2 linked regions of the Oreochromis niloticus genome follow. Each later gene encodes a partner of the first gene's protein in a complex. Links are inferred from orthologs where the notes say so. Each region holds a gene or a part of one and is shown on either strand. Other genes may lie near its edges.

The links. The genes of interacting proteins can lie anywhere in the genome.
Region 2: the proteins of wdpcp (region 1) and fuz are in contact, whole or in part, in a cryo-EM structure (PDB 7Q3D), measured with the Homo sapiens proteins. The link is inferred for Oreochromis niloticus from reciprocal best matches to the Homo sapiens genes WDPCP and FUZ. Residues at the interface, in NP_056994.3 of Homo sapiens: Arg55, Ile57, Asn75, Lys78, Leu82, Glu418, Asp419, Arg420, Leu421; in NP_079405.2 of Homo sapiens: His293, Glu372, Glu373, Pro374, Arg379, Gln397, Pro399, Thr400, His401, Gly402, Ser405, Leu406.

The regions. Positions count from the first base shown.
Region 1 is NC_031978.2:7,703,813-7,711,569, forward strand, and holds the start of wdpcp (WD repeat-containing and planar cell polarity effector protein fritz homolog), read right to left. Parts: upstream 3,003-7,757; 5' UTR 2,875-3,002; intron 2,819-2,874; exon of another isoform or gene 2,685-2,818; intron 1-2,684. Other genes in the region: mdh1ab (malate dehydrogenase 1Ab, NAD (soluble)), read left to right, coding at 3,179-3,331, 3,786-3,884, 4,292-4,388, 6,005-6,180, 6,458-6,580, 6,689-6,865. UniProt on the Homo sapiens protein: Probable effector of the planar cell polarity signaling pathway which regulates the septin cytoskeleton in both ciliogenesis and collective cell movements.
Region 2 is NC_031982.2:20,160,652-20,167,605, reverse strand, and holds fuz (protein fuzzy homolog), read left to right. Parts: upstream 1-4,837; 5' UTR 4,838-5,145; coding exon 5,146-5,320; intron 5,321-5,443; coding exon 5,444-6,444; downstream 6,445-6,954. Other genes in the region: guanine nucleotide-binding protein G(I)/G(S)/G(O) subunit gamma-5, read left to right, coding at 981-1,106. UniProt on the Homo sapiens protein: Probable planar cell polarity effector involved in cilium biogenesis. May regulate protein and membrane transport to the cilium.

The DNA of each region.
Region 1 (7,757 bases):
ATAAGTCCATATATTAGAGATGTTATTGATTGGTGCTGGACAAATTTATTAATTCATTCATCAGCCAAACAGATCTACTCATGGCAGTCTGTCTCTAATGTGGATAAAACTCCTGATGAGTTTGTTCCAGTACTTTGTTGCAGTTGTAGTTTACTTACTTAAAACTCCTATTTACAAATAACCAATACAATCCCAAATATCAAAAACCAAAACAAAACAAATGTGCTCAAACTATCAATACCTCAATCAGAATAATATACACTCACTAGTCACTTTATTAGATACACATGTTCAGCTTCTCATTTGCCCAAAAATCTAATCCACTAATCACACGGCAACAACCCAATCCATTTAGACATAGACAATGGCTGATCTCCTGAAGTTCAGACCATGCATCAGAATGCGGTAGAAAGGTGATTTATTCCTACAGAATCACAAAAATTGGATAATATAGGATTTGTAAAATATTGCCTGGTTTGATGAGTCTTAATTTCTGTTGCAACATTTGGACAGTGTGATCAGAACTTGCTGAAAATAAAATACAAACCGCCTCATATCACCAATTCAGGCTGCTGGTGGTGCTTTAATGGTGTTATGGGATAATGGGAATATTTTCTTTTCATACTTAGGGCCCTTGGACACTGAGCAAACACCACAGCCTACCTGAGCATTGTACCCAACTTCTGAATACACTGGTTTCCTGAACATAATAGTGAGTTCACTTAACTCAAATGTTCTCCACAGCCATCAGATCTTAAGATTTAGTCCATAAAACACAGTGGTGTTTGAACTGGATCTAAGTCCAAACACCACTTTTGGATTGGCGTGGAATGGGAGCATGGCATTATGGATGTGCAGCCAATAGAGAAAATCAAGAATTAAGGCAACTCTAAAAGTAAAAGAGGTCCAACCTGATATTGTGTCAAAAAGTGATTAGGGAAAAAATAAAACTGAATTGAACTGAACAGTTTACATAAGGATATCATTTTTTGACATGAAACATTTACTAGTAAAGTGTCTAAAAACAGGGGCTGTGAATGTAATTGGTATTTAGTTTAGTCTGGAGTAAGTCTGATACCATTCAGGTGTAACAGTATCTCATTTGCTTTTTGTTCAAGTCATGTAATGAGCCTGTAATGAAGCCATAAAATATTGATGCCCACGCTCAACTAACTGATCAACTTAAAACAAGACAGCAGAAAGAAACACTTCCCTTCCTGAGGAAGTACAGGTGAGGAGACTCACAACAGGAGAGGACTCGGTAAAAACAGATCATAACTTGTATTCAAGCACAAAAATACTTCACTCTGTCATACCTTGGCTATGATAGGTCTAGACTATTGCTTTAAAGGCAAAAAACTACAAAAAGAATTTACATAAAGAAGCATTAAGTTTGTGTTAGCACAACTACAACTGGAGAACAATTTATGCTTAAAAAAATGCAACCCTTCATTTTATACATTTCTGTTATACATAAAAAAAAACAAATAAATCATTAAAAAAAATGTATCTCTCCAACTACCAACCAAAGATACACTTTTTATAAGATATTTTAGTTACTGTATGCTATGCTTGGCACAACCCTGCTGCCAATACTTCAGTCTGGAAAAGTTGATTTGAAAAGTATTATTTATTAAATCTTTGACCATTAAATTAAAGATAGTCACCCTCACACTAAATACTATTAAATTAACACTTAATTTATGTTAACTTAAGCAACTTAAAATCTATCTTACCCAACTTTTCAGTAGTCAACCTTTTTAAGAATTTCAGCATCTATTTTGAAATCTTAAAAATACTATTCATAGAAAAATGTAAACTATTACAAAGGCAACACATTAAACTCTTGTATGCAGAATCGACATATGAGTTTTAATTTGTAGATTAGAAAAAAATATTCAGGTCTACAGAAATGTTTTTTGAATAAAATATTACTTTGTTAACACGTGTTTGTATTCTTTGCTTTATATGCATTTAACATAGTGGGGCAAAACAGGGTATTGACAGATGTGAGCTCTGGAACCTAATGCACTGTGACAGTCAATGATAAATATAGTTATATAAAAGGAAGGAAACCGAAATTAATTAATCTTATTTTGGTAACACGGGTAACAAGGTCGGAAGGTCAGAAAATACTAAAAGGGAAAATGCTAAATGTATCAAAGAGGTCTGACTTTTAGTTGACCTATATTGTTAACACACAACTCAATCGTGTCATTTCGTCTTTGTCATGACGGTTCTGTTGCTTCCTTTTCCAGACTGAATATACTTCAGTATCAGGGTTGTGCATATACGGTGGGACAAAATTTGCAGAGGATAATTACTGTTCGGAGTTATTGCTGTATTATAGGAGAGATATGTCAACAAACACAGAAAAACAACAACAACAAAAGATTCATAACGTATTTTAAGTATTTTAACTGTTAGTTGACATGCAATTTGGTTTTCAAAACGTTAGTGCAAAAGGGGAGGGGGTCTCAAATACTGTTTTGCATTTTAAATATTTTGGAACCACTTTTTCAACTACTACGTTTACCTTTTGTCCTGTTCTAGTATTTTGTGCATGAATTGTTTTCAAATTCATGTGAGAAACTGAAAATATCCTGCAATTGTAGAATGGTCCATAACACAGCTCCCACGAAGGAAACGGGGATATCGAATAAAACAGGTTATTAACAACTTACCTCAATTAGCTCATTGACGAGGGCTGCAGCAGTGTCTGGTCTTTCTCCACCCGAATGACTTCAGCGTTTTCTTAAACTTAATAGCGACTACAAAACTTTCATACTGACTGTTCACTACAGATAGATAGCTACTAGCATTAACCTAGACTTACGAACTGTACTGTACCCTAATATATAAAGATAGTCTCACCTGATCATCTCACTCCTCTGCCAAATTAACTGCACCATCTGTTCGTCTGTGTATATGTTTGCTAAGCTAATGACAAACTGCACTCACGCTACTAGCAAGGTCGCTAAGCAACGGTAAGCGAATCTTCCAAGGCTATGCTAACCAGCTAGCACAGTAAATATCGATATCATGGAGAAGCATTTTTTATAGCATCGGTAACAGTATTGCAGTCTGTAGGATTGTTTATTTGCTTGCTAATACATTTCTTGTTGAAGCTGGCTTACTTATGTGGCATTTGAAAAATACCTAAAAGACTACACAAACGATGAAAACTACAACTACATGGATCCTCAAGCTGCCGTTTAGCTATTTTAAGTGTCGTAATCAAAAGAGCTTAAATACGAGTGACCTCTGGCTTGAGCGACAAGTGGGAGAAACAGAGAAGCGTGAGGGACGTCCTGCTTGTCTTGGCAGTATGGTGAGTAGATACAGTAAATATGTTGGTTATCTTATTTTTTTTTTTCTGCAATGGAGATTAAACTGTTGATATTCACCCTGCTTATGCAGGAAATTCACAAAGTAAGGTATGCGTTGTTTCTAGCTCACGGCATGACGCAGCCAACCAGAGGACTCAAAAGTTGACTTTATTTAAAAAGTCTCGTTTCGTGTCAAAGTCACGTGACACTTTTCTAATTTTGGTTATTTTAAATTGATGCTGATCTCCCAAGTATATACTCATTTGTTATGCAACCCTGAGTCGTGTCTGCAGGCACATGTCTATTTTTGAACTCACCCCCTGCTTTACTAAATCTTTTAGACAAGAATAGACACCCAGCCCACGTGCAGTTGCAGTTAAACTTTCATGTGTGTGCTATGAGAGAACTCAATGCTATGATTGCTAACAGCAGTTTTCTTCACCTTGTGTCTTGCAGGCTGAGCCTATTAGAGTTCTGGTGACCGGTGCTGCTGGGCAGATTGCCTATTCCCTGTTGTTCAGCATTGCCAAAGGAGATGTGTTTGGCCAAGACCAGGTAAAGAAGGGTTTTGCCCTGCGCTTGTTAAAAACTCAGTTCCCTCTGCCTGTCACCAGGCGCACCCATGAAACTGACAGCTGGGAATGTCACAAATTTTCCAGGTCATATCTGGGATGACATTGCACATACTGTATGTTGTTCCTTTGGAAATTGATTGGGTTACACTAGCTTATTCATGACTGCTCCGATCACCCTGGACTGTCCTTGAAGTCAATGAAGTGGCTCTTGTGCCAAGAGTCTTACGCCAACTTTAAAGCCACTTGATCCAATTGGTACATGGCTTAGGCCTTCTCACGCTGTCCCAGAGAACTAAGTCTCCCACTGACATGTAATGGTAAACAGGGATTATTATGCAATTTCATAATAATCATTTAAATTCAGTTATTTCATTTTTCTTATGGCAGCCAATCAGCTTGCTCCTGTTGGACATCACCCCCATGCTGCCGGTCCTGGAAGGTGTAGTCATGGAGCTGCAGGACTGTGCCCTTCCACTTCTGAAAGGTAATCATTTAAGGCTTTGCTCAAATAATTGAGCAATACCAGTTTGGTTTTTTTTTGGTTTTTTTTTTTTTGTAGGCATTTTTTTTTCTTTTTTTGACAAACTGGATATTTAAAAGCAGAAGTAGCTAAATTATCTTTTTTTCCCCATTTATACAGATACAATTTCTTCATGTTTTTTTTGTTTGTTTGTTTTGTTTTTTGGCAGAAGGATCACCTTGTAAATGTTTTAATTCACCTTTCCTTCTATACCTACATATCCCAAAATATGATCCTTGAGTAGATGTTAGCTAATAAGAGCAACTACACCCTTCTTGTTGGAGGTGGATGGTTTCTCTTGAATAAGCTGTAGAGATTTGTTTGCACAGAATGGGCTCATTTTCTTGTCTGAGTATGGACCCAGTTTTTTGGTTTTTGGTTTGTTTTTTAGTTTTTTGGTGTGTGTTTCGTGGCTGCTGTCATGGACTCAGTCATGAGGCGCCACTATGTGCCATCTCCATTGTGACCTGGAATTTTTACTTTGCAGTGGTGCTGTTCTTTGCTTTTGTTTGCACGGGGGCTGAAAGAGGCCCCTGTATTAACCAGCCACGATGCAAAGACAACACCTCATGCACATCAAGACAAAGATAAATGCAGTTCTCATCAAACTGGTCACCTTTTTTTCTAAATATTATGATTGCAATTTAGAGTGATGCTTTGTCTCAAACAATTCAAAAAGAAAGGTGACAACACGGTAAATGTCAGATGCACAACACAAACAGGAAGGACTTCCTGTGTACCTCATGTTCTTTTGTTGGAACAGTTTTAGGGAGTGTGTGAGAACAACTTTTAGTCATGCAACTTTCATCAGGAGCTGACACAATGTTCACATATTGCAGTAAAGATCTGATGTGCCATTAATTTAAAATGAATTCATTTTTTTTTCCAGTTCAAAATGGGCCTTTGGGGGGATCATGTATTGGAAACTCAGTTTGCCCATGTATTATGGCATTGTCAGAAATCTCAAGTATTGTCCTGCTATTTTCAGTTTAATAAACAAAAATATATTTTATGGTCATTTAAATGCATCCCCAATTCTCACTAATATGGTTTGTAAACACAATTTCACCACAGTGCTAATAATTTTTGATTGAGTTTTGCTAAAAAAACCCCTGTATCAAATAAAAGTGAGGTCTACTTCCACCTTGGGTGCTAACAGTAAAGGTTAAATCCTTAACCAACCTAAGTACTTATGTCCCCCCCCAAAGGCCTAGTATATTGTTATGAAATTCAAAGGCATTCTGCAAAAAGTTGCAGGTACTATAAAGTTTTTACGTGTGTGTGTGTGTGTGTGTGTGTGTGTGTGTGTGTGTGTGTGTGTGTGTGTGTGTGTGTGTGTGTGTGTGTGTGTGTGTGTGTGTGTGTGTGTGTGTGTGTGTGTGTGTGTGTGTGTGTGTGTGTGGGGTTTTTTTTTTTTTTTTTTTTTTTTTTTTTTTTTTTTACACATTTGACTGGTTCTCTTCAGGTGGAGAACAAATTCCACTATGAACTTAATAATCCCTCTCAAGGTTCAAAGTTGACAAATTGCCAAAGAGTGGAGTTTTAAAAACCTATTGGCAATTAATTTTCTCCTTCTACAGAGATCATACCCACTGACAAAGAGGAGGTAGCCTTCAAGGACCTGGATGCAGCTATCTTGGTGGGCTCAATGCCCAGAAAGGAGGGTATGGAGAGGAAGGACCTGCTTAAAGCCAATGTGGCCATCTTTAAGAGCCAAGGGGCTGCCCTGGATAAGTATGCCAAGAAGACTGTGAAGGTAATTGGAAGCATATTTTTTGATGTAAAACACTCCCTTCCTGTCAAGTGAGCAAATCTGAAAGAAACTTCTCAGCCTCTGCCAAATGGATAGAAATGTTTCCTAAACATTTTGTGCTACTGGGAAAAATAGCAAAATCTTAATGAAGTATTTCCTGATGCCAAAACATTTTTCCCTTCTCGGTGTTGCATAATACAAGTTTGGTCGATTTACTCATGATAGTAATAAGACATAAAATCTACATGGCATATGTTTTTAAATTGGTTTGTGTGTTCAGGTGCTGGTTGTGGGAAACCCTGCCAACACAAACTGTCTGATTGCAGCCAAGTCTGCTCCCTCTATCCCCAAAGAGAACTTTTCCTGCCTCACCCGTCTGGACCACAACCGGGCTCGCTCTCAGGTACAGTCCTCTCACTTCTTTCACTTTCTGATGTCAGTCTCAGATGTTTGGCAGCCACATTGTCAATCGTGGCTGACTGAAAACCTGACTTTACTTCGTATCCTGTAGGTGGCGATGCGCTGTGGTGTTCCAGCCACTCGGGTGAAGAATGTGATCATCTGGGGGAACCACTCCTCCACCCAATACCCAGATGTTCACCACTGCAAGGTCAACATGTCCGGCAGTGAGGTGACCTGCTTTGATGCAATCAAGGATGATGATTGGCTTAAAGGCGATTTCATTACTGTGAGTTGATGGTTTCTAGATGAAAGCATGATATTTTATAGCTGGAGTATACTCACACTTGGATGCTTTTGGCTGTGCTTGAGAAAAGGCCTATAATATGATCCTCATATTTTACTTTATTGTTCTTCCATCTTTTCTTCATCCTGATGCTCCTCATAAGATTAATGGTTTTTAACATTACTGGTTACATTTGTGGTTCAACAATGCTCTTTTTTTTGTTTTGTTTTTGTTTGTTTTTTAAATTTGCACAATAGTGAGTTTTCCAGTTGCTGTTCATGCGGGCAGATGTCAGTAAGACATGAAGTCCCTTTTTTTTTTTTTTTTTTTTTTTTTTTTTTTTTTTTTTTTTCTGGCAAGCAAACATTTAATTTTCCTTCAAGCAAAATATTTTCTGGGAGACATTCAAAAACATGATTTTTGTGAACCAAAAACCTCAAAGATTTGCAGAATGGTCAAAAATCCTCAGGATGTGTTTCCAAAACCTCCAAAAGTCATATTTGCTGGGTCTATCCTGGCTTCTTTTAGGTAGGTAGGTATGCCTGAAACGCCTTACCTAGAAGGTGCTTGTCTCTAATCTTATTCTTCACACATCTTGTAGCAATACCCTATGTTCCTGTCCTTACCTGACAGCTTCACTGTTATGATCTGCTCTCTTCATTACAACAATCTCTCCATCGCTACAGACAGTGTACCGGTCCTTCTGTCAATCTGCCACTTATGAACAAAGGGAGAACAAGATTATACCTTGTTGCTTGCAGTGTGCAGCCCATGTAAAGCAGATATTTGTGGGACAATAAGTTAAGAAGTAGTAGTAGTAGTGATTTATGTACAGTGAAATGACACAGTTTCACCAGGCAGGGGCAGCATTTCCTATGAGTCCAGTTGATAAAGA
Region 2 (6,954 bases), on another chromosome or scaffold:
TGTCCCATTTGGAGGTGGTTCCTGTGGGTCGTTAACCCACTATTGATCTGTGTCCTCACATAAGCCAAAATGTGAAAAGGTCTCTCAGCATTCCTGCGATATCCCGCAGTGTATAGTGTTTTCCATCCAGAGATTGCTGTGGTTTTAATCTAGTGTCACACTGTATAAACATGTTGTGTGTTTTCAACTGCAAAGTAGAATTTTGTCAATTATATCAAATGTACAAGGCAAAGGAGTATGCTGGCTACCAACTTGTACTTGCTGCTGTATATAACAATAAGATTTGAACTTGACATCAGCACATAATTGATGAATGATGAGAATGAGAATGAGAGTTTTTATTGGCTGCTTCTGCAAATTCAAACACTGAACATGTTCCCAAATACTCTCTATAACAACATTCAAACAACCTAAAACACTGGATTCAGTCATGGTTCTAGAAAATGTGCCTTGTTTACAGTCCCATGTAAATGAAGAGCATCTATTTTAAAAGAGTTCCTGCATTTCCAGTTATGCCGCAAGCAAAATTGGACACCAAGGCTTCATCTCTGATATTGGTCAGGCTTAAAAAGTGCATCCCACAGTTTCCTTTACAGTTGTGCAGTGAAGTATTATTAGCCCTGTTCAGGTCTACAGTTTCAGGGGTGGCTGGTAGAGCAGGTCATCTGTCAATCGGAAGATTGGTGGTTCAGCCCCTAGGTCCTCCAGGCTGTATGGCAAACATTCTTGGACAAGATGCTAACCCCGATGTTGGATAGAAAACACTTAAACCTTCCAATAATGGCTGAATGAGCCATGTTGTATAAAGCACTTTTATTGCTCAAGTAGAGTAGAAAAGCACTATATAACATCCAGTCCATTATCCATTCTTCCCAGCTCCAAAAAGCAAAAAGCATCATACAGGTGACTGAGCAGTCATTCAAAAATATTGGGATGCACCTGCTCTAAATGACTTGTGTACTTTTTCTTGTCTTCAACAGGTTTCCCAGGCAGCTGCAGATCTACAACAGTTTTGCATACAGAATGCTCTCCAAGACCCTCTGCTCACTGGTGTGTCATCCAGCACCAACCCTTTCAGGCCGCAGAAGGTCTGCTCCTTCTTGTGAAACCACTGTGTCCATTGGTAAGTCGGCCACACTTTTGAATATGCACATGTTCTGTTGCTGAGCTACACATGCCGTCTTTACTGTGTATTCAGATTTCTTTCTTGAATTGAAAAACATCTGAGACTTGACAGTAACATTGACAGTATTTTCTAATAAATTGATCTAATGCTTGTGTGACCTGCCGGTGGATACTAAAAGAGTTGCTTTTTTTAATACTGTGAAACCTTGTTTCAGTTTATACAAATACAGTTGCATTGTAAATCAATAAAAATAGTCTGAATAAAATCTTCTCATCCTGAGCTGTTTAACCATTTAAAATGATTCTTTTCTTTTTTTCCTTGTTCTGTAGGCCTTCATTTTGATGCTACAGGGAAAAATTGACCTCAGCACCTGCTCCTTATGCCAAGCCATTATACTGCCACGGGAATTCTCAAAAGTAGAACTCAATGGATTTAAAACGGGAAGAAGACTGCCTATTTTTAGATAAGGTAGAAGACAGGAGACTGTATTATTTTCCACGGCACAGTGTGATTTTTGACTCAATTATTGTGCCTTTTCTATTCTATTTTAGTCATCACTGTTCTCAACTTTTTTGTATTTAATGAATAAAATATTCTTTACTACTCAAGTTATTGCCATTATCCTTTTCTTGTTTATCAATTTCCTGAATTATGATTTTTTTATAGTTCCATATTATTGTCAAATTTCATGTAGCCTTAGAGGCAACAGTTATGGAAACAGCTTGTGTATGAATCATTAAGTAGACCAAAGGAAGAGTTTGGGTCAAAAGATACTGCATTATACATGAAATTGGTGATGGGAGAAGTACTTTGATCTGTTTCTTGAGCCAAAATTAAAATGAGTATAGTGTAAAATTTAAAGCAACTTAAGATTTTTGTGCTGCTTTTTTCGTTTTTTTTGTTCTTAAATCAAAGTATTTGAACAAGTGTCATAACTCATGATCAGGACTCCAAACTGTGATATTTAAATGTGCATACATAGTTTATTGTACATTTACTGTACATTAAATTTGACAGGATTTGTTTCCTGTATTCAACTTATTGTACCTTGCCACCTTTATTTATGGTAAATGGACTGGTTCTTATATAGCGCTTTTCTACTCTTCTGAGCACTCAAAGCGCTTTACACAACTTGTGCATTCACCCAAGCACATTTTTCTAGGTGCTTTCTAAGTAACATTCACACACACATTCATACTCCGATGGATACATCGGAGAGCAATTTGGGGTTAGTATCTTAGTATCTTGCCCAAGGATTTTTGGCATGCAGACTAGGGGAAGCCAGGAATCGAACCACCAACCTTCCGATCAGTAGAGGACCTGCTCTACCACCTGAGCTACAGCCACCCTATTTATAAAGCACTTTAAAATAAACCAGGGTCCATAAAGTGCTGTACATATACAAATAGCATAAGCAGAAAATAAACAAATCAAACATTAAGAATAGAGAATTAGGGAAAAAAACAGTCAACTTCTTAAAAAGTGCTAAAGGCTTCAGCAAATAAATGTTTTCTGAGTTTTAAACTCAGAAAGAGAAGAGGTCTGCTTAACCTGCAAGGGCAGATGATTCCACAACTTTGGACCCGCTACAGCACACGCACGGTCACCTCTAAATTTACGCCTAGTTTTGGCACCTTAAGGAGCTGCTGATTGGAGGACCTAAGGGAGCAGGTAGGTGTATATGTAGCTGTGGGGGTAGCAGGTATAGGGAGAAAAGAAGGCCTCAAACTGAACCCTGTGGGACTCAACATTGAAGAGAAGCAGCAGAGGATACAAACTCACAAAGTTTCACAGAGAAAGTTTCCTCTGCCAAATAAGATCTGAACCACTGCAGTGCAGTACTGCTAACACCCACCAACTGCTCTAAATGAGAAATAAAAATTTTATGATCCGCTGTATCAAAGGCAGCAGTTAAACCTAAAAGCACAGTAATAACACAGTTACCTGAGTCAACTTAATGTAGTCAACTACATTTATGATACAGGATGTGGAAGAACTTGAGAGGACATATGGAAATTGGAAAGGAGACCAGCAATTTATTGAAATCTATATAAGCACACATGGAAATACAGTATGAACATTATTGAAACATACATGGAAATATAATCTATAAGCAAAAACTGTTTGTCCACGTCTAAAGAGTTTGAAAATCAGTATTTGGTGTGATGACTCTTCAACACCTGAACTCTGAGACAAGCTTTCTAGTAATTTCTTTAAGGAGTCTTCAGGAATAGTTCACCTGGCTTCTTGAATGAGAATCAAAGCTGTCTGGATGTTTGCTGCCTTCTGTCTGATTGGATATTGTTGAGACCTGGGCTCTGGGGGGTCAATCCATGACTGACGGTGGCCCACTGTATTTTTCTATCCACCTATGCTTTTACTGTATTGGCAGATCCCTGATAAAAAATTAGGTTGTTACCAATCGGATGGTTCCCATATAGTATTAACATGGTGGAACAAAATCTAACAGTGGCAATGATGGCTGCGCTTCTATCGAGACCATTCCTTCTGTGAACAGTAGGTGGAAAAACTATGGAAGAGGATTAGGGCCACTGGGGGGAAAAAGGCATGTCTTTGCCCCCCCAATTCTGAGATTAAATTCTGACTTTTTTCTCAGAATTCCAGAAAAGAAAAGAAAAAAAGACGTGCCCACTCTTTTTTTCCCAATTGCCCTAATCCTCTTCCGTAAAAACGTCCCAGATGCATTGTTTGCAAAAACCCGGCTTAAAAATATAAACATATATATATTAATGTGTATATATGTATGTATATATATGTATGTATATATACATATAAAAAAGTCAGAATTTAATCTCAGAATTGGGGGGGGCAAATTCTTACACATCTCTATTATTGCTAATTTATATTGTAATATATCTATATCACGACTAAAGCACTTTCTGGATGGATGCAAACTGCATTTCGTTGCCCTGTACCTGTGACATGTGCAATGACAATAAAGTTGAATTCTATTCTATTCTATTCTATATATATATATATATATACATACATATATAGATATATATATATAGATATATATATATATACACATATATATATATATGTGTGTGTGTGTATATATGTATATATGTATGTATATATGTATATATATAATTCCATTGTATTGGGTTAGTAACAGGAGTCCTCTTTATTTTAAAAGTTAATATTATTTAATTACAGCATATACTGATGATAAAATTACATCTCATCTTTGATTTAAAAACTGGTTACTATCCCAGGACCACCCCAAACAAAAGCAATACAAAAAAACTGACATTCTTTATTGTCTTTATACATAAAACATTTTTATTATATTTGTATACAGAAGGACACTCTTTAGTCTGAATTGCTCACGCTGTTTTTAATGTTGATTTGCAGCTTGCATTTGTACAAACGGTACAGCATTTTGTGTAACAATGTTCTGGGAAAATGATGAACTGGGCATCTTATCTGCTCGTGAGCTCGCGACTGTGGGTGAGCTGTTGGTTGAACTCTCGCGAGATGTGAACGTACGGAAATCACACCCGTGTTGAGAATAGCCGTTCCATGTACGCGGGCACTGAACCCAGGTCGGTCTCCATGTCCATCTCCTTGAGCGGTTACATCAGAGCGGTTAAGTCGTAACTGCAGCTCGACCAGCCGAATGAAACCGCTCTCACCAGTGTGAAGAATGAATCATGGGACAGCGTTACTGTGGAAACGACGGTAACTGCTTTTGTTAACCTGACATATTAAGTACAGTTAGCTGACAAAGCTAGCCGGCAGAATATATTCGGGTATAGTAGCTAGATTTGCTGCTTCATAGCTTGTCTCATTGTTCGTGGCCGGTTCAGTGAGCTGGAAGAAAATGGATTACGTGATGCTAACGGCTCACCCTAGCTGATGCAACTTTACTCGGTCATTGTCATTATACAATCAGCTCATTTAAACCCGTTAGTTAGCTGGCTCAGTAATCTGGTGCAGCTAAATAGCTAGATTGTTGGGCGTATGCATAACCTTAAATCACAACTACTGCCACGATGATGCTCCAGGATGGCTCTACACAGCTTCTTTGTCTCACAGCCAGCAGCGGGGTCCCTCTTTTCACAAGAGGAGCCTCCAAACAGCTGCCCTTCTCTGTCATAGGCTCTCTAAATGGTGTTCACATGTTCGGAGGTGGTCAGGGGGTAGTGTTGACCTGCTCTGAGACGCAAGGTGGAGGGAAGGTGGTGTGGAGAGTTTTCCAGGACAGTGTGATGCTCATCGCTGTGAGTGGAGGTGGAGATGGCGGAGTGGGCAGCAGCAAAGAGGAGGAGGCCCGTCTACAACGCCTCCTAGAGAATGTGTGGGGCTGCATGGTGCTAGTGTTAGGGCTGGATGAGCTGGTTAATGTCCGGAATGTTGAGAGGCTTAAAAGGGAACTCAGGTCCTGCTTCAGTCTTATTGATGAGCTGCTGGAGGACAAGCAGGAGGGTATTCTGGGAAACCTTACACATTGTGCTGATTCACTGGTGCCCCCAAACCCCGCTCTTTTTCAGGAGGCAGTGGATGGTTTTGCTCAGGCTGCAGACAGCGAGTTTGGTTGCCTCGTTGTTCATGGGCGAATTGCTACGGCAACTGAAAAGTGGTGGCGCCTCGCTCCGCAGGAAGTTGTCCTGCTTTCTGCTTTGATACGCTCACTCTCGGCCTCTGGATCGGCTTCTTGTGATTACCCAATTTTCCTTCCTCATGGCAGCCCCACTGTAGCCCACCGTCTTCTCCGCTTCCAGCTGCTGCCCAGAGCAGACGTATGTGTGCTGTGCGGTCCAACCCCATCCCTACATGGAGCTGAGACTGGGCTGGTGAGTCGTTTCTGGTCTCCCTTGGTCGAGACCCTGAGAGAGTGCCTGGCTGTTGGAGAACGCTACCTACCAGGGTCTGTATCCCTGCGCCCCGATGTGCTGGCACTTCTTCTCATCAACCGCGAAACACGTCGTGCAGTCTCCTGTGTACGGACTCCCAGTTACCATTACGATGGTCCATTACTCTCCAAGGCCCGCTGCTGGGAGCTGCTGAAACTCTTTTATATCTTCAGCACATCACGGTACTTCACCCAGGAAGAGCCTTTATTTGTCTCCACAGAAGAAAACGCTCAAAGAGGCAACACTGAAGACTTTCCTCTTGGATTCTCCCACCAGCCCCAACAATGTTATCTAGTTACAGAGGAATGCAAAAGCTATGGACTTCAAACACCACAGCACCAGCTGTTTCTGCTCATCTTACCATCTGTGCCCACGTTTGCGCTGCGTACACTGGCTACACAGACTCTGTCTGATATAGTAGCAGCCACAGGGTTTTAATTGAATTTCCTGTTTAACACCTTTTTTTAATCACAGGTGAATAGCTATAACATTAATGTGAATTTACATTTTCTTTACTGATTTATGCAAGCATATTATATGCTCACACACAATCATAAAGATCAGCTACTATCTTTTGTAAAGACAGCGATTAACTGTGCACTGGTAAGCAAATGTATGGTAGAAACAATGAAACACTACTCAAACTCTTACAGTTTCTACTATGCTGCCTCTAATGCTGGCAAAATATAAAAACACATTGAAATGTCACACCAAAGTGCTTTGAGTTTTGTTTTGCATCACTTTTGCACAACTGCCCTGCCTCTCTATAAGCTGGTTATTACATTAGAGGGCAGCACTGTAACAATGTGTATTAAAATGTATTGGAGAATAATGTGAAGATGTTACACTGGATTTAAAATTACCTGCTGTTTTTGTTGTTTTGACATTTTGAATAGTCTGACCTCAGAGGAGGTAAAATTATCTGTTTCTAAATATAGTTGGTTAATT